Cricetulus griseus: one gene and its partners. The protein of the gene in region 3 interacts with the protein of the main gene of each other region in a pairwise test. Links are inferred from orthologs where the notes say so. Each region holds a gene or a part of one and is shown on either strand. Other genes may lie near its edges.

Region 1 (4,570 bases), on a different chromosome or scaffold from region 3:
TGTCTTAACAATTACCATCACCTAATGGGCTGCCTTGACCAAATCGAACACTCTTTTAGGACTCAGTATTGATTTTTTGTTTGATTGTTTTGTCTCCCCCCCACCCCCACCCCAAGACAAACATTTTTTGTGAAGCTCTGGCTGTCCTGGAACTCACTATTTAGTACAGGCTGGCTTTGAACTCAGAATCACCAGCCTCTGCCTCCCAAGTGCTGAAAATAAAGGTGTGTACCACTACTGCCCGGCATTCAAGTGTTGATTTTGAATACTGAATGTTCTTTTAAAAATAAATATGGCCTCTTTTAAAAATAAATTTGGCCGCTTCTCATCCACATTCAGATGAAATAGGAATCTCAAAGATTTTAGGAATTTGCATAGTAAAAGTAATTAAGTAAAAGCATTAAGTCATTAGTTGGTGCAGTTCCCTTACAAAATACTATTATTTCCTACTCAAAACAAGTATAAGCAGTATGTGCAAGAGAGATGGGAAAGACGCTGGTCCATTGCACAGCTGTTCCAGTCAGCTAGCTCTATGTGATCAGCTATGCAGACCTCTGCATTCCTGGAGTCAGCACTTGCCATCGTATCACTGCATTCCTCTGTAAGGCCACACAGCTCATGAGCTGTGACAGGCCCAGATGCAGAGAGGAGTTAGTTATCCAGTAGCCAGGGAGGACTAATTACAAAAGCAGGCTGCCCTCAGATCTCCTGTCCTTTTAATGTTCCAGAGAAAGGATGGGGGGAGCTATTCCTAAGAGTCATTTCACAATATCCGCAGAGGCCCCACCCTTTGAGATGAAAGCAGAGAAGGAAAATAATAGAAAAATTCTAATCCAGGGAACTTAAAGATATACTTAATACACTCTCCCTACTTAAACTTGTTCATTAGATTACTTGACATCAGTTTCTTCAATTATTAGATTATTACAAAGCATACAGCCAAGCCCAAACTTGGCACTATCAGCAGCTCCTGCCTGCCACAGACCCAGCTACTCAGGAAGCTGAGGATAAAGCACTAGGCCAGAACCCAGGAGTTTTAGATAACATAGCAAGGCCTCATCTCTTTAAAAGAATAAAAGCCAAGGTTGGTGGCAGCTAGGCTTGTTGGCAGGAGCATAGTGAGTTCGAGACCAGCTACAACCAATTACATAGTTCCAGAAAGAACCACATATCAAGACCTTGTCTCAAAAAGTAAGGAGTGGGACTACATATTTGAAATAAGCCCTTAGGCCCTGGATTTACCCTAAGAAGTGTTTCACACTTGTCTGGCATAAGGCAAACCTTGTGTTCCATTCTTTTTACCTAGGTCCCTGGATAACAGTCAACACACTTTGAGGGTCCCTTTGAGGAATTAATGGCCCAGTTACTAAAAAAGGCTTATTGTTAATTTCCTGCAGGGATCTTACTGCAGCTCTTTTTTCCCCACTGCAGCACTTTTTTTTTTTTTCCAACTTTGACTTCAATTTGACCTTTAAAATCTAAGACATTTAGTATGAGTGGGATCCTTGGCTCGATAGCTTCATGCAACTCACTGTTGCTGATGCTATTCTTAAACTCCTGTTTCCTGGCTGCAAGACACCCCCACCCTGCCATCTTTGATACATTCTGCTTTACTTAAGTCCAATTGCTATGACAACGCAGTTTCTTTATGAAAATACTTCGTATTCCTTGACAGCCATGATGATTAGCTTTTCGAAAATACCAAGGGTAAGAACAGACAACTTAAAATATTTGGGGGTATATATCTGATTATTTGGGAGGCTGAGGCAGGAAAAACCTGAGTTTGAGACCAGCCTAGGCTATTTAGCAAATTCCATGCCAACATGGGCTACACAATAAGAGTTTGAAGAGATATTGGGGTGTTGGGGGCAGTCAAAAGGACCCTGTAAAGTGTAGCAGCTAAAAATTATCTCACCCCAGCTTTCTGGGCTATTCATTTAAAATACATCGAGCCGTACTTACACCAAAGCCCCTTGTTTTATATACATATGTACTTCCAGTACCCGAGAGGCTTTTAAAATAAAATTTTTCGTTGAGAAGCATTTCATCAAATTTACAAGGACAGCTTCAGACACAGACAAAAGATTGCTCTATCACTCCACAGTGGCACGGTGGCAAAAATTTGGCCAAAAAATATATTAATTTCGACTTAAAAACAAACAAATAAACCCAGTCTCACATAAAAAGAAAGAGAAGAGCTGTAACCTATTAAGTTATTTATTGGATTTGTATCTCCTACCAAGTGGCGCCGCATCTAACTACTGTACAGGAGCAGGTCAGCACTGGAGAGAAAAAGACATTTATTACCAGGAAAGAAAAAGGAGACCGTTCTGCGGCTTGAGGGCCCGGGATCGCCATACAGGATGAAATTAAGGTCAGAGAGCCCTTCACTGCAGACGCCAGGCTCGTCCTCTTCCACGAGGTGCGGGCACGGATGGTGCGGATGCAGTGCAGTGGGGGGTGGGGGGACGCTCGCGGGTGGGTGCCATCGAGGACCACCCACCACCACCTGCCGCGATGGGTGGGGCCGCGGGCACAGGGAGGGGCCCTCGCGCGCCTTCCCCACCCATGACAGGCCAGGTCGCCGCCCGGCCCCGCAACCCACGCGCCACAAAGGCGGCGGCAGCGGCGGCCCACGGAGCCGCCCGTGAGGCCCCACGGCTCACCTGTCCGCACCGCTGCGGTGCTCCGCAGCCCTCGGCCCTTCCCTCCCCTTCCGCCGCCCTTTCTCACCGGCTCCCGGGGGTGAGGGGCGTGGGTCGCCGCGCTGAGGGCTGCTGAGGAAAAAGATGCGGCGCCGCGGCCTCTGCCTCACGCCGTTCGCTCCGCAGCGGCTAGTGGCGGCGACGCGCGCGCGCTGGGGCTTTTATAGGCGACCGCGCGCGCCCCCGCGGCGGCCGAGCGCGCGCTCGAGGAAGGCTCCCGGGTTGGTGACGCGAGGGGCGGGACTCGCCGCTCGATTGCCATACGGAAAGGGCCGAGCGCGTCCGGAAGGGATCTTGGCAGCGGTGCGGGGGGAGTGGGGGTTGGGATAAGCAACGCGAGGGTGGAGGCGCAAGGGGAGCTCGGGGGCGCGCGTGAAGGGTTCGGGGCGCGGCGCGGCGCGGCGCGGCGCAGAGGAGTCACCGCCTCCGCCCGCCGCGGCGTGGGTCCTGCAATCCTGCCCCGCCCAGTCCGTCCTGCAGAGAATCTGTGCCGCGCCCCTCCGCCCCTGGGAGCCCTTCCGGAACTGCGGCGAAGGGCGGGGCGGGACCCATCGCCGCAGTCAAGCTAGGGATGTTGCTGCCCTGGCCGGAAAAACGCGCTGTCCTTTTCGGGTGATCTCACCAGAATGTTGGCTCTCCCTCTCCACTTTCTCAGGAGGAGGCTTGGCGCTGGGAGCCCCGAGTGTTCCTGTTCTGTTGGGGGCTGGGGCCAAGAAAATCAGATGATTTTGGGGCCCTGTGTTTGAGATAGTAGGGGAAAAAAAAAAAAAAAAGCAACCAAATCCTGATTAGGAAAAAGAAAAAGACTGGTTTGTGGCATTAAGCTTTTATTTCAGGATTTGGAGAATTATTCAGCATTTTTTCTTCCTGTTGCAGTAGAACAGGGTTCGTTCATTCTCGTTGATAAAAAAAAAAAGACATTAGTGTTTCTTTCCCCACAATTAATTGAACTTTGCTGTGTAGGTGACACTGTGTGCTACCTCTTTAGGCTTTTAACCTTTGCACTAATTTTACAAGGTGGATATTGCCTTCCTTGTTTTACAAATGAGCACCCTGATGCCATAAAGGCTAGCATTCTACCCGGGTCAGGTACGAAGCAATTAGAAAAGCTAAGATTTTAACACAAGCAGTTGCAGGTGGTGCTGGACTTTTTAGAAGAGGAAAAACAAGATTTCTGCAATTTCTGTATTTCAGGGCCTGGCTCTGAACTCTGTAGCCAGGCTCCCCTCCAGCAAAAGCTCTTTCCCTTCCTCCATTTGGAAGACAGCTGTGTAGCAACCATTCGAGTAGCACCCAGCTCATTCCTGTGTAGTCAGGCCGACTGGGAGTTCTGCAGCTCCCCCAGGCACCAGCCTCCTGGTTACCAACCGCCCTCCTCGTTAAATAATTACAAAGACACTGGGCCTTGCTCCAGAACTCGGGTGAGGCCCTGTCCTGATATTTCTGTTCCTCTGCAGTTTGGCTTCTCCAGAGCCTAGGATCTGCATTGTGACTTTTAAGCTGCTCTGGCTGTAGGCATGATAGTGAAGATTCCCAGTCCTTTTCCTTGGAGTGGAGAAACACAAAAGGAATGGCCACACCCCAGAAGCAGCTTCACAAATCTTGAGGAAAGGAGGCATTTCCTGCAATCTTTACAGAGAAAATAGGTTGGGGAGCTGCTTCCTGAACTGTTTTTTTTGTTTGTTTGTTTTTTGTTTTTCCTCCCTCCAGACAGTGTTTCCCTTTGTAGCTCTGGCTATAGACCAGGCTGTCCTCAAACTCAGAGATCCCCCTGCCTCTTTCTCCTGAGTGCTGGGATTAAAAGTGTGCACCACCACAGCAGGCTCTTGATTGTGCATTTCTGAAAACAGCTGATGGTGACCATA
Region 2 (3,503 bases), about 53 Mb from region 3:
GAAGGTAGAGTTGTCATCTTTTCCCTTGTTCTTCCCCAGTGTCTAGAACACAGATTCTAGTGTCTTGAAAAGTGCCTGTCCATAGCATTCTTAATTAAAATCTTGTATTAGCTAAATGAATCAAATCATTGAGTCCCCTGGCCTGCCCAGTGTCTACAGCCTATCTGAAAGCCTTCACCCTGCTGTGAATCTGTGTAGCTGATATATTTGTGCTTCAGGGTAGAGTATGACTTCTGGGTGCCAGGTACACTCTGCCTACCTCCCAAGAAGGAGCCATGAAGAGCTGACGTTGCTTGACAAGAAACAGGGCAAGAGCATTCTAGGAGTCAAATGGCCAACTCTAAATTCAACCTTTTTCCTACCTGCTCTCCCTACAACATCTTTGTGAGACCAAAAGCTTAAAAAAAAAGTTTCCAGGAGAATTTTCTCTTGGCAGTGCCAGTTAGGTAAGTCAGCAAAACATGATCAGAAAAGAAACAAAACAAACTCAGTCTACAAACAAAACAAAACAAAACCAAAAAAGCCAAAACCCCGAACCCTAAATTAAAGAAAAGCAACATGTGAAACAAAGGGAACTGGTGGGCGGCTGAGGTCCTCTGCGGGTTAGGACGTCTGGATGAGGAAGGAGCGTAGGTGAAGTGATGCGGAGAGGCTGACGGGATAGGGTGGCGCTGTAGGGGCGGAGATGGCAGAGGACCAGCTCCTCTCCTCTGTCTTCTACCGAGGCTGGTGGCTCCATGCTGTCCCTCTTGGACAGCTAGTGCCTTCCGCAGCATACCCTTAGGCTATGGAAGCTCTGCTGGAGTAGAAGTCGGGGACCGGAAGCCCAGTGTGGAGCGTGACCTGGGGAATGAGACTGTGAGCTATGCAGGACGCTGTGCTTACATTGATCTAATCACAGTGCGGGGTTGTGTGCCCTCAATTCGATAAGGGCCCATTCACTTCTCTTGAACATCTATCCTAAAGACATTAAAGGGACTTCTAGCGGGATTCCAGCTGCAGTAAGAGCCGGGCAACGATGGTGGGCCTCCAAACCCAGGAGACACAATCCCTACTTCTTTAAAAGTATTCTGGGAGACTGCATTTCTTTTGACTGAAGACAAGGCACTTGTGTGTAGGTAGTGAAGCCTTTGGCCTACACAAAGTGACCACGGCCCAAGTCTATGGACAAAGAATATATTAGCTTGTTCATGAGTTCCAGTTATGGACAAATCTTTCTGGGATTGAACAAAGGATTTTTAACAGAAGAAACATGGCACTTATGCTGTTGTGCCAATTTCTAGGCAATCTCAAATTATGCTGAATAGCTATGGGAAAAGACTAGAAGCATCTCATAAAAACTGCCACTTTCTCCTTCTTGTCCATACCATCCCTGTCAAGAGTCTTTGTTTAAAGATGCTGTAACATCCTTGAAAGCCTGAAGCATGACTAGAGTGGTAGTCTTTGGAAGGGAAATGTCTGAAAAGGTAGAATATTTACAATGAGTTTTTTCTTATATTCACTTCTACGGCAGTTTAAGCTTTCTGTCTTCTGATGTCAGGCTGGCCTCTGAAGAGTTAAATTTCATCCCCAGACAGTCCCACCTACTTGCAGAAAGCCAGAAGGCAGGGGTTGCTGGGTTGTAAACAGTTTTACTGCATATCCTCATAGACTGTAATTGATGTAAAAGAGTTTCAAGGCTGTGGCTGTAGGTGGAGGTATGAATCGTCTACAGGATTTTGTTTTCAAGTCCTATTTCAAGGCTAGTGAGGTGTATGTCAGGTAATGGGAGGACCAACTCAGGAGGGCTGTGAAGTCCTGGATTCTAACAGTGGTCGGCAGGACCACCCACACTCCTTGCAAGCTTTGCAACTCCCCTCTACTGCTCCCTGCCCCAGCCCACTAGCCTCTTTGCTGTTCTCTGCCCAACCTCGTGCCTTAGAAACTTGTAAGTTTGGGAACCTCTACCCAGCCTACCACCTTCTTCCTTCAGGATTCAGATCAGCAGTGACCACAACAAGGCCAGCCCACTGGCCACCTTGCTTAATAGTGGTAACTGGAATATAAGCTTAGGGAGGGTAAGATTTGTATCTGTTTATTTTCTCTCTCACTGATGACTATCAAATATTTACAACAGAGCTGGCATATTACAGGGGCCCTGTTGAGTAAAGGAGTGAGAAGAACCTGTTGTTTTGTATCTATAGGAAATTGAGAGTAACTGTGCTTCCCAGCCAACAGTGCAAGGCAGAGTGAAGGAGAGTGAAGCCTCTCCCGCCTTCTGATAAGGGTCTAATGTTTGCTTTTCTCGGGCATTCCTGGTGCTCCCTAGGAGTCATCTCATTGGCTTTCATGTCACTCTGTTGAAGACATTCAGCTCTAGTTAGAGATGAAACTAGAACAAAGCATGTAGGGAAGGGGAAAGGAGGCCTGTGTTTCCTGTGCGTGGGTGGCAAGGGCATGAGAAGGGGTCCGCTGGTGTGCAGTCTGCACCTCGGATCAGCTTCCCTCTTGGAGTTCTGAGGATTTTACTGCCCTGGGCAGACTTTGAAGCAGCAACCTGAGGAAGCTGCCCTTAGTCCCAGGGCCCTGGTGCTCACCTGCACATTTCTGTTCAGGCTGACAGCAGGAAAGAACAGGCCCTCCACGTTCTCAAATGCGATGGGCCCTTGCTGCTCATTGTTGATGAAAAATGTTAACGTTTTCCTATTTAAGTCGAGGAGGACTCCAATGGTGGCCCCTTTTGTGATCCCTCCTTCAGTTCTGTGGGAAAAGGAAGAAAAATGGAGTCTCATTAGCTCATTGCCATTCTTAAATCTCCCCCTGTCGGTTTGTCGAACTTTTCTTTATTTTTGCTTTTGATATTTGGTACCGGGGATTGACCCTAGGGCAAGTGCTCTGCCGCTGCATTTATCCCCAGTTCTCTTTTTACTTTTTGAGACAGGGTCTTATCAAATTGTCCAGGCTGGCCTTGAACTTCCACCACAGCCCAGGCAAGCCTGAAACTTGGCAATCCTCCTGCTGCAACTTCCCAGGTAGATAGGACTATAGGCCCGTCCCACCAGGCCTTGCCAAACCAGGATTTTGTAACCTGTTTACATTTTCCCCCCAGCTCAGCTTTTTTTGCACTTTTTTTTTTTGAACATAAAACTTTAAAGCCTTAGATACACTATATACTATTTATATTTGGTGTATCCTTGCTTTGCATATGAAAATATGATTTAGATTTTTTTTTCGAGACAGGGTTTCTCTGTATTGCTTTGGAGCCTGTCCTGGAACTCGCTCTGTAGACCAGGCTGGCCTTGAACTCACAGAGATCCACCTGTCTCTGCCTTCCCAGTGCTGGGATTAAAGGCATGCACCACCAACCCCCAGCTGATTTAGATTTTTTGCTCCCCCGAAATTTCCACTTCCCTGTGGAGGCAGCCACCCCTCCTCGAAGTCCCTTATTTACTGTGCCTTGCTGAGAGTGAACTGGTACACATGGAATCTGAGCTGTAACAGGAGAAAACTGACTACAGAAGCCT
Region 3 (4,355 bases):
AAAAAGAAAAAAAGCCATAAGACCCCCAACTATAAAAACACAGGAGATTGAGATTAAGCACTGCTGCACACTTATCATCCCAGACTTTGGGAGGCTGAAGCAGGAAGAATGCAATCAGCGTGGGCTAGACTAACTTCATGGGGGAGGGGAGGTTATTGATAATGAAAGGTAAAAAGAACACGTTAAAAGCAGAGCCAGGTGTAACAGCTCAGGCTTGTAATCCCAGGACTCAAGAGGCCAAGGACTGCCATGAGGTTGAAACCAGCCTGGACTACAGCGTGAGCCCTATCTCAAAACCAAAAGTAAACCAAAACACCAGAAGCAGGCAAATCAAGACCTACTATCAAAGGAACAACGATGTAACAAGTGACTTCTCAACAGGAACAATCAAGCCAGACTATGAGAAAGCTTTCAAATGCTTAGGCAAGGGAAGTCCCGAGTTCTGCAACTAATTAGTGAAAAGATTCTTTGAAATGGAGGAAAGGTCCCAATGCACAACTCTGGATAGTCTAAAAACCAACAAACTGCATGCTTTCATGGGTGTTTTGTGGCATGAGCTACATCTCAATAAAGTTGTTTATGAACCAGAAAAAAAGTGAAGGGTAAAACATTTTCAAACAACATCTAACAATCTGTTGCCAGCAAAGCCACGCACGCACGCACGCACGCACGCACGCACGCACGTGATACTAAAGGGACCCGGCCTGGCTGTATACACTCGAAATCGCAGCAGACAGGAAGATGGTGAGTTCTAGGCCACTCTGAGCTACTGTATTCCTAAGCAGCCTGAGCTACAGGACAAGACCCTGCCACAAAAACACAAAGACAAGCTGAGGAGGTGGTCCCAAGGATAAATTGCTAGCCATGCAAACATGAGGAAGGTCTATCCATATAACCCATATAAAAGTTGTGTGGGGCCAGGCAGTGGCGCACACCTTTAATCCCAGAACTCTATGAGTTCCAGACTAGCCTGGTCTACAATAGCTAGTTCTAGGACAGCCTCCAAGGCTATAGGGAAACCCAGCCTGGAAAACCAGGCCCACCCCCCCCCCCAAAAAAAAAGTTGTGTGGGTGTGGCAGCCTCCTTGCAATTCAAGCTGTTAGAAGGAGACAGGACCAAGAGGATGGTTAGTGCATCTTACCCATACTGGCTGCTGTGTGTTCAACTGAGACCCCCTGCCTCAGTGAATAAATTGGAGAGCTATGGAAGAAGACTCCCAATGCCAACCTCAAACCTGTGTGTGGCCACACATGCAAACATGTATGCACACATACATACATATACGTAAAAGCCAAAGCAGCTATCGCTCAGTGGATGCATGCAAGACTCAGGGTCTGATACCCAACCCTGCAGCACTCAGACACTAAAAGAAGTTCTTCAGGAGAAAATGACAAAGGTGGCAACACAGTTGAAGAAGAAGACGGCCTTGATAAACACTGAGGAATAAATGATGTCAGGTAAAAATGAGACATAATCACTACTTCATATGTTATACAAAAAAATCAATTCCAGGTGAACAGTATCAATTCATGTGAAAAGCAAAACACTGAGATTTCTGCAAGATGTCAGCAAGCTATCATCTTCACTTAGAAATAGAAACACTAAAAAATTAGGAAGACAAGTAAACCCCTCAAGAAAAATTGGACAGGATTTAAATGGACACTTTACAAAAGATGCCAAACAAACACAAAAAGACAATCAGTCTCATTAGTCAACAGGAAACTGCAAGTTAAAACTCTGATGGACTGCCACTCACGCTAAAATTTCAGGCAGACACTACCAAGGATTGTGAAGGATTTTAAACAAGAGCTACTAAATGCTTGCTGATGTAAACTGGTACCGCCACTTTGGGAATTTTGCTTTATCCACTACAGCACAAGATACAAATGTTTTTATATTAAAAAAAAAAATCTCACCAGGCGGTGGTGGCACATGCCTTTAATCCCAGGGAGAGGCAGGTGGATCTTTAAGTCTGAGGCCAGACTAGTCTACAAAGTGAGTTCCAGGCCAGCAAGGACTACACGGGAAACCCTGTCTCAAAACAAACAAGCAAGCAAAAAAAAACCCCTACTTGTGGGTTAGTATAATTTATACTCAAGAGAAATGAAGGCTTTGGGAAGTACACAGGTATATTCACTACAGCGTTTACAGCCAAAAGCTACAAACAATTCAAAAGTCCACTAACAGTAGTAGAATGGATAAATCTATATACTATGCAGGGCAGTAGATGGCAGAAACATGACGAACTTCAGAAATACCTCTAATGAAAGAAGCCAGACACAAAATTACATAGTGCATTATTTGATTTAGATACAGCTCACAAAACGGAAGAAACGAATAAACGAATCTACAGTCGGACACTTCAGTGCTTAGAAGATAAAAATTACACAGCAAACAAACAAACAAACAAAAACCCAAAAAACCAAGCACACACCACCCCAGAAATCAGGGCACGTTTCACCTGGAGAGGGTGGGTGGCTGCTGCTAATGAGGAGGGCGCGCGGCGAGTTTCTGGGTGTTGACCGGGCTCCCTGGCTGAATGGCACATCAGTAGCCATACCTTTATTTATTTATTTACACACGACGGCAGGTTTGCAAGCGAAAGGGGACAGGTCATAAAGAAGGTGAGGAGGCGGCGCCCTGGAGGGGGAGGAGAGCTCCGCATCGGCGGCGGCGGCGCGCTCGGTGGGAAGACACGGGGACCGGCGCGCGGCCTCCCGCGGACCCCGCGGCTTCGGGGGCTCCGGGGCCGCCTGGGTCTCCCGCACCGCACCCCGCACCCCGCACCCCGCGCCGGGCGCTCGCGGCCCCGACTCACCTCATCGTGGCTGCCGTGCGGGCGCGGGGGCCGGGGGTGAAGCGCGGCGCGGCGCGGCGCGGCGGGGCGCTAGCGGGGCAGCCGGCCCCGGGCGCGGCGGCTCCGCGTCTGGCTGGGCTGCAGGCGGCGGCGGCGGGGCTCATCTTCTCCGGCGGGCGTCCGGGCCGCTAGCTGCGGGGCAGCAGCGGCGGCGGCGGGCGGCGGCGGTAGCGACTGACAGCTGGGCCCCGGCCTGCCATCTTGGCGGCGCGCGTGCCCGGGCCGGCGCGTGCGCGTGCCGCCCGCCGACGGCCGGGGGAGGGGGCGAGCGGCGGGGTCTCGCGGGCGGGAGCGTGCGAGCGTGCGAGCGAGCGAGCGAGCCGGGGAGCGGGGGAGCGCGCGCGCGCGTCCGTCCGTCCCTCCGTCCGAGACTCCCGGGCGGCGGATGGGGTGCGCGGTGCACGCGGGGCCGAGGGGCCCCTCCGCCCGCCGAGGGGACTGCGCGCGCCGACGCCCCCCTCGGTCGCCAGCCGCGGAGGGAAAGGGCGCGCGCGGCGGCGGAGCTGCACACAAAAGGCGCGGGGAGCCACGGTCCGCGCCTCCAGGAGGGCGGAGCGCGAGGGGGCGGGGCGGGGCGGAGCCAAGTCTGGAGGGGCGGGGCGAAGCCTTGTGGTTGGGCAGTCCTGCCTGGGGGCGGGGCAGGGGCGGGGCCTAGGGCCCAAAGGCGAAACGGTAGTTTAGAGGAACAGGTAGGTTAGCCTACTGAGTTCCAGGTCGGTCGGAGCAGCCGGTGTGACCTTGTGTGCAAGAGAAAGACAGGTGCCAACCTCAGCGGGAAAGCCTTGGGGTCTTGGAGCTAGGAGGCGGGGTAGTGGGCGTGACCTAGGGCCCAGAGGCTGCAAGGCTAAACTTCAAGATAAGGGTATCTAGAGACTGGACTTGACCTGGACTTGACCTCTGGACCAGGCCTGGGGGCAGAGCCGTGGGGACCCAGGGGAAACAAGGAGAGGCTTTGAGGAAAAAGTGAATAGGGAGAAAGTGGGAGGAGCTCTGCCGGAAGGCCTTGGGGGGTCCTGGGTCTGGGCGTAGATCTGGAGCAAAGCGGGGAAGCCGGGAGGGGCGGAGTCCCCAGGGAAGCCCTGCTGATGACAGAGCTAAGAGAGGACAGGGCAGGTGCAGGGCGTGATTTGGGAGGCAAGGCTGAGCCGCGAGGGTGCCGGGTGGCAAGTGGAACCCTACTGTACAGGCTTTCCAGGGCATTCACAGAGCACTATGAGCTGGAAGACAGCAATCCTACTGGCTTCCTCAACCTGCTGTACTGTTAGCAGTGCCTGGGTTGTAGCCCTCCTGACCTCATTTGTGCCTGTCTTCTTGGGATCCAGATTTGGTTTGTTACAGAAGAGACGTCCTAAAACTTACAGATGTTCAAGACTCGGTTCACCCGAAAGGCATCCAGGTGTGCTCAGGAGAGACAGGGTTAGACCTGGTTGGTACCTGGCTTATTGCTGCTCTTCCTACACTTGGCCACTGATCTCCAGATTGGGTGTCTTCCCTGCT
Region 4 (4,309 bases), on a different chromosome or scaffold from region 3:
GAAACTATCCTCTTATGACAGGCAGGGATGGTTATTGATTGCATGGTCTAGGAGCCAGCACTCTGCACAAAGGAACCCAGGGATTTCCAACCTGGGTCAGGGTTTCTTATACCCTGAGTATGTTTGCAAAAGCTGTCACCTCAACAGAGGGAGTTCCATCACCACGGCACTACTGACATGGTAACAGCAGCAGTTATAGCTACATTTATCCTGCCCTCCTTACAGGATGATGGGCCCTGGGCAAATGCTTCAGCACACTGTTCCAGTCAATACTTATAATCACCTTGGAGAAGGTATAGCTTCTAAGAGGAACTCCTCCCATCTCCCAAATGATGGTTCAGGCCTGGAATCCCAGCCTTCTGGAACTGAAGCAGACAGGTCATGAATTCAAGACCAGCCTGAGCTGCAGAGTGACAATGTCAGGATAGGAAGAAAGGAAGAAAGAGAGAAAGAAGGAAGGAAGATCTTAGGAAGGAGAGAAAGACCAATGGGAATCTCACCATAGATTCCTAAGTCAGTAGATGGTAGACCTGGGGACTCAGCTTTTGGCTTCAGATCCCATGTGCACACCAATTGCATACATGGGATTGGACCCACCAGAAGCGCTTTCAGGTGCGGGAAAGAGCTGCTTCCATCCCTGCCAGGGAAGCATGCCCAAGAGCTAGTAGTGGGAGAGAGCTGGTTCAAAAGCCACATTCCAGATCATCTGTCTCCAGGCTGATCACTCATCACACCCACCAGAATGACAGGCAAGGCAGCACTGTGGTCTGAAGGGTCAGTGATTGGGCTCTAAGTCAGAATTCTGCCTGCTTTTTTGCTTGGGGTTTTGATTTGTTGTTTTGGTCTCTGTGTTGTTTTAGTGTCTTGCTGTGTAATCCTGACTGGCTTGAACTCACATAGAGACTATAAGGCAGGTTTTAAACTTTTGGCGGTCCCCCTCCTATATCCCCACAAGTGCTGGGATCACAGATATGGCCACTACAACCAACTAGAATTCTGAGTTTGAATCCCAGTTTAACCCTTTCCGAATATCAGCTTCTTCGCTGTGAAGTGTAAATGGTGCTCACCTCTCACCACTGGTGTAGGGACAAAAAAGAGGCTGTGGGAAGGTACAGAGAGAACTTTGCTGTCATTGCTCCTCTTTGGTCTGCCATTTCCCACAGACAGTTGCTCCCTTTTCCTCTCAAGTCCCCTTAATATAGGATGAGGAACCTGGTGTTGTCACACATTTTGGCCAGGGGTAAGGGGCTGCAGACTTAACCTGTCATTCTTAATGGAGCAGAGGGAACCAAGGACAGAGTGCAGATAAACTGTCCCAAGTCATACACTGTGTCAGACAGACAGAAGGATGGAGAGGAAGGACCTCAGGTGAGAAGTCAGGGAAGCCGTGCCTGGCTCTGCTGTTCCAGAGCGAGGTGACCCTGGACGTGTCACCTCCTTTCCCGTTTTCATATCTATAAAACAGGAGTTGTCTCACAAGGTGACTGTGAGGACTGACAAGGGGATGGATGGGTAGTTGCGAGGCCCTCCACCTCTCTTCCATTCCCAGGAGCCAATGCTATGGAATATGCACAAGATGAGCAAGACTACCCCAGGGTGGAGTGGAGCTTAACTCAGCAGAAACACACTTCCCAGACAGCCTGGGCTCCATTCCCAGTTCCTTAAGAAACCAAAACAAAATGACACGACACAAACAACAGCCAGGAGAGGCAGTGGGAACCTGTAATCCCAGCCCTGAGGGAAGACTGAGATAGAAGGACCAGCCTGAGCCACAGAGAACTGAAGGACAGCCTGTGCCATACAGTGAGGCCCTGTCTCAAGAACCCCCCAAAAATAAAAAAATTGAGACTACTGTAGAGTTCCTCCTTCCTCGTCGTTTCTCAGCAGCCAGGCTGTAAGCCCCATCAGACCTCTTCTCTCATCCTGACCTGGTCAGACCCTCCTCTGTTCTCCCTCAAACATCTAGGAACAAACTCCCTAGAGTGTGGTAAGTTTCCTGACGACTCCCCTAGAGCCAGCCTGCAAATGGTACCAGCACCTGAGAGAGGAAAGGGTCTTGTGGGTCTTTGTAGGAGATGAGAGATGAGCTGGGGCAAGGTAGGATTATATAGAGAGTGAAGTAGACACATCCTCTACTTCTGAGGCCATGTAAGAAAGAACAAGTGCGGGGGCGCTTGGAAAATGTGGGGTGATGCTGAAGCCTGAAGATTGCTCAGTCAAGGCGACAACAGGCACCTGTCAGATAACCCTGCATGGGGGACCGGGCTGCAAGTCCCCTCCAGGGGTATTTTGGCATGCACTCTCTCCACTTACCTGCACGTAGTTATCCTCGCAGTAGTTGGCCACCCGCAGCAGGGCGCTGTGGTTGCCCCGCAGAGCCTCCCGGCCCGTAGGGATATCAAACTCCTGAAGCTGCTGCAGCTCCGCCATGGCTCAGGCCTCGGTGGGGTTCCCTGGGGAGCCTGCTGGTTTTGAGCCTCACCCTGCCCCTGATTGGCCGCTCTGCCTTCCCTCCCTCTCTCTGCTTTTGGTTTCCTCTGCGTGAGAGACCCAAACCTGCCTGCAAAGGGTAGGCATGTTCATTCCGGGACAAGAGGAAGTCAGACCCTGGGTCCTGGGCCTGTGCTTCTCTGTCCCCTGCTCAGACGAGGGGGGAAGCCAGGGGCCTGTTTGGGGGCTCAGCCTCCCAATCTCACCAGGCAAAGGAAGCCAAGGTCCGGGCATCTGTGATTGCTCCCTGGTCCTGGAGAGGAAGCTAGTCCATGGGGGGATGGGGTAATAGAGACAGGAGGAAGGGGCTGGCCTGCTATGGGGGTGGATTTTCCACTCATGGAAGAGGGGAGGAAAGGGCAGAGGGTGGGGGCTTCCTTGGGAAGCTTGGGGATGAGTCACCAAGGGATGAGGGAGTGCAGGGTGGATAGGATATGGAGATAAGTCATGGGGGGCGGGGGCTGGCTGTGCAGCAACAATGGAAAACAGCCCATGCAGCAGCAAGAAGTCTCAGGGTTAGACACCAGGAAGACCGTCTAGAGTTCCTGGAGAACTGTGGGCAAGCCTGTGAAGGGTCAGGTAGGAAGTCCCGTGACCCGTGTTTTGTGCCTGACAGAGGCAGGAGAAGATAAAATTGACCAAATAAACGAGGGACTCAGATGAGCAACAAGAGGGCCTTGGGTGTGGGATGACACCATTCCCGATGGATGTGTGGGCTTGAGGCGTCACTGGTGGACAGAGTGTTGAGTGGGGCTCATTGTATTAGCTGGGAGTTGAATGGATTTGATGATTCTGAACTAAATTTGAGTTCTTGGAGCACCCGGCTGTGAGTGGGCCTTGATCCTGTGGCAAGGATGGCCTCCATCCCCCTCCCCTACATCCCCTCCCCCTCCCAGTTTGCCATCCTCCTGACAGAAGAGGAACCCTCACTAACCACACTGGTTCCTTAACATTCCCTCAAGAGAGTCCCTTGCTATTGGACAAATGTCAGCCAGACCAGAAGCTCAGCTCTGCTAAATGTCATAGTCATCAGGTAGCCCTGGGAGAGGCAGAGAGAAAAAGCAGGTTGTAAGTGGCTTTTGGGAACTGAAGATAAGGGAGCTCCCCGCCCTAGGGAGGTTGAGGAGGCCGAGAAGCAAAGGGCATGGCATTGGGGTGACCACAGCCCCTGGATTGAAGCGTTGAGCTTTGAAGCGAGGGTATGTTTTTATTGAGTGACTGGAGAGTGAGCCTGGAGACCCTTGTAAGGTGGAGTTACGGAACTCCCTAAAGGAAGACACAGGGCTTCTGGATCCGGAAAGCTAGAGCCAGTCTGGGGCGTGTTGTCTGGGGAGGAGCAGGCTCTGTGATGGGAAAAGACAGGGAAGGGGAGCATGTGGGCTGAAGGGAAGCTGTGAGGTGGGGGTAGAGTGGGCGGGGGGGGGGGTCACTGAAGGAGAGCGGCTGATGTGGTCCAGGGCCCACAATGGAGGTGGCCTGTTTTTTACTTTGTGGGTGACTGTCAGTGTCTGCTGTGGAGGAGTGGAGGGCTTCGGGGATCAGGACTCAGAACACTGAGCTCAGGATCAGCTTTGGCATTAGAGATTAGGCTTTGCTGACCATCTGCTTTATCTGAAGATTTTCAGCTGATGAGGCTCTAGGAGGTTCAAACACCATCGTGTCTGGGTCCTGGACTGGTGATTTGGAGAGAGCATTAGCAGGTAAGGAGGCTTTGAGCACACTGGGCTGGGGTCTAGTCTTAGTATTACTAAGGTTAGGCTCCAGGTTGGTTCTCCTGGTTACCCTAGAGTAATATATCATTGTCAGAAATAAAAATAAG

Evidence for each region.
Region 1: the proteins of Evl (region 3) and Sptan1 interact in binary tests that used the Homo sapiens proteins (3 or more experiments, as listed by UniProt). The link is inferred for Cricetulus griseus from reciprocal best matches to the Homo sapiens genes EVL and SPTAN1.
Region 2: the proteins of Evl (region 3) and E3 ubiquitin-protein ligase TRIM9 interact in binary tests that used the Homo sapiens proteins (3 or more experiments, as listed by UniProt). The two-hybrid records come from large-scale screens. The link is inferred for Cricetulus griseus from reciprocal best matches to the Homo sapiens genes EVL and TRIM9.
Region 4: the proteins of Evl (region 3) and Abi3 interact in binary tests that used the Homo sapiens proteins (3 or more experiments, as listed by UniProt). The link is inferred for Cricetulus griseus from reciprocal best matches to the Homo sapiens genes EVL and ABI3.

Annotation. Positions count from the first base shown.
Region 1 is NC_048599.1:141,635,081-141,639,650, reverse strand, and holds the start of Sptan1 (spectrin alpha chain, non-erythrocytic 1), read right to left. Parts: upstream 2,873-4,570; 5' UTR 2,734-2,872; exon of another isoform or gene 2,667-2,733; intron 1-2,666. UniProt on the Homo sapiens protein: Fodrin, which seems to be involved in secretion, interacts with calmodulin in a calcium-dependent manner and is thus candidate for the calcium-dependent movement of the cytoskeleton at the membrane.
Region 2 is NC_048598.1:133,134,853-133,138,355, reverse strand, and holds the end of E3 ubiquitin-protein ligase TRIM9, read right to left. Parts: intron 2,740-3,503; coding exon 2,577-2,739; intron 844-2,576; coding exon 781-843; downstream 1-780. UniProt on the Homo sapiens protein: E3 ubiquitin-protein ligase which ubiquitinates itself in cooperation with an E2 enzyme UBE2D2/UBC4 and serves as a targeting signal for proteasomal degradation.
Region 3 is NC_048598.1:186,226,121-186,230,475, forward strand, and holds the start of Evl (ena/VASP-like protein), read right to left. Parts: upstream 2,928-4,355; 5' UTR 2,825-2,927; coding exon 2,820-2,824; intron 1-2,819. UniProt on the Homo sapiens protein: Ena/VASP proteins are actin-associated proteins involved in a range of processes dependent on cytoskeleton remodeling and cell polarity such as axon guidance and lamellipodial and filopodial dynamics in migrating cells.
Region 4 is NC_048600.1:108,994,417-108,998,725, forward strand, and holds the start of Abi3 (ABI gene family member 3), read right to left. Parts: upstream 2,814-4,309; 5' UTR 2,697-2,813; intron 2,561-2,696; 5' UTR 2,431-2,560; coding exon 2,314-2,430; intron 1-2,313. UniProt on the Homo sapiens protein: May inhibit tumor metastasis. In vitro, reduces cell motility.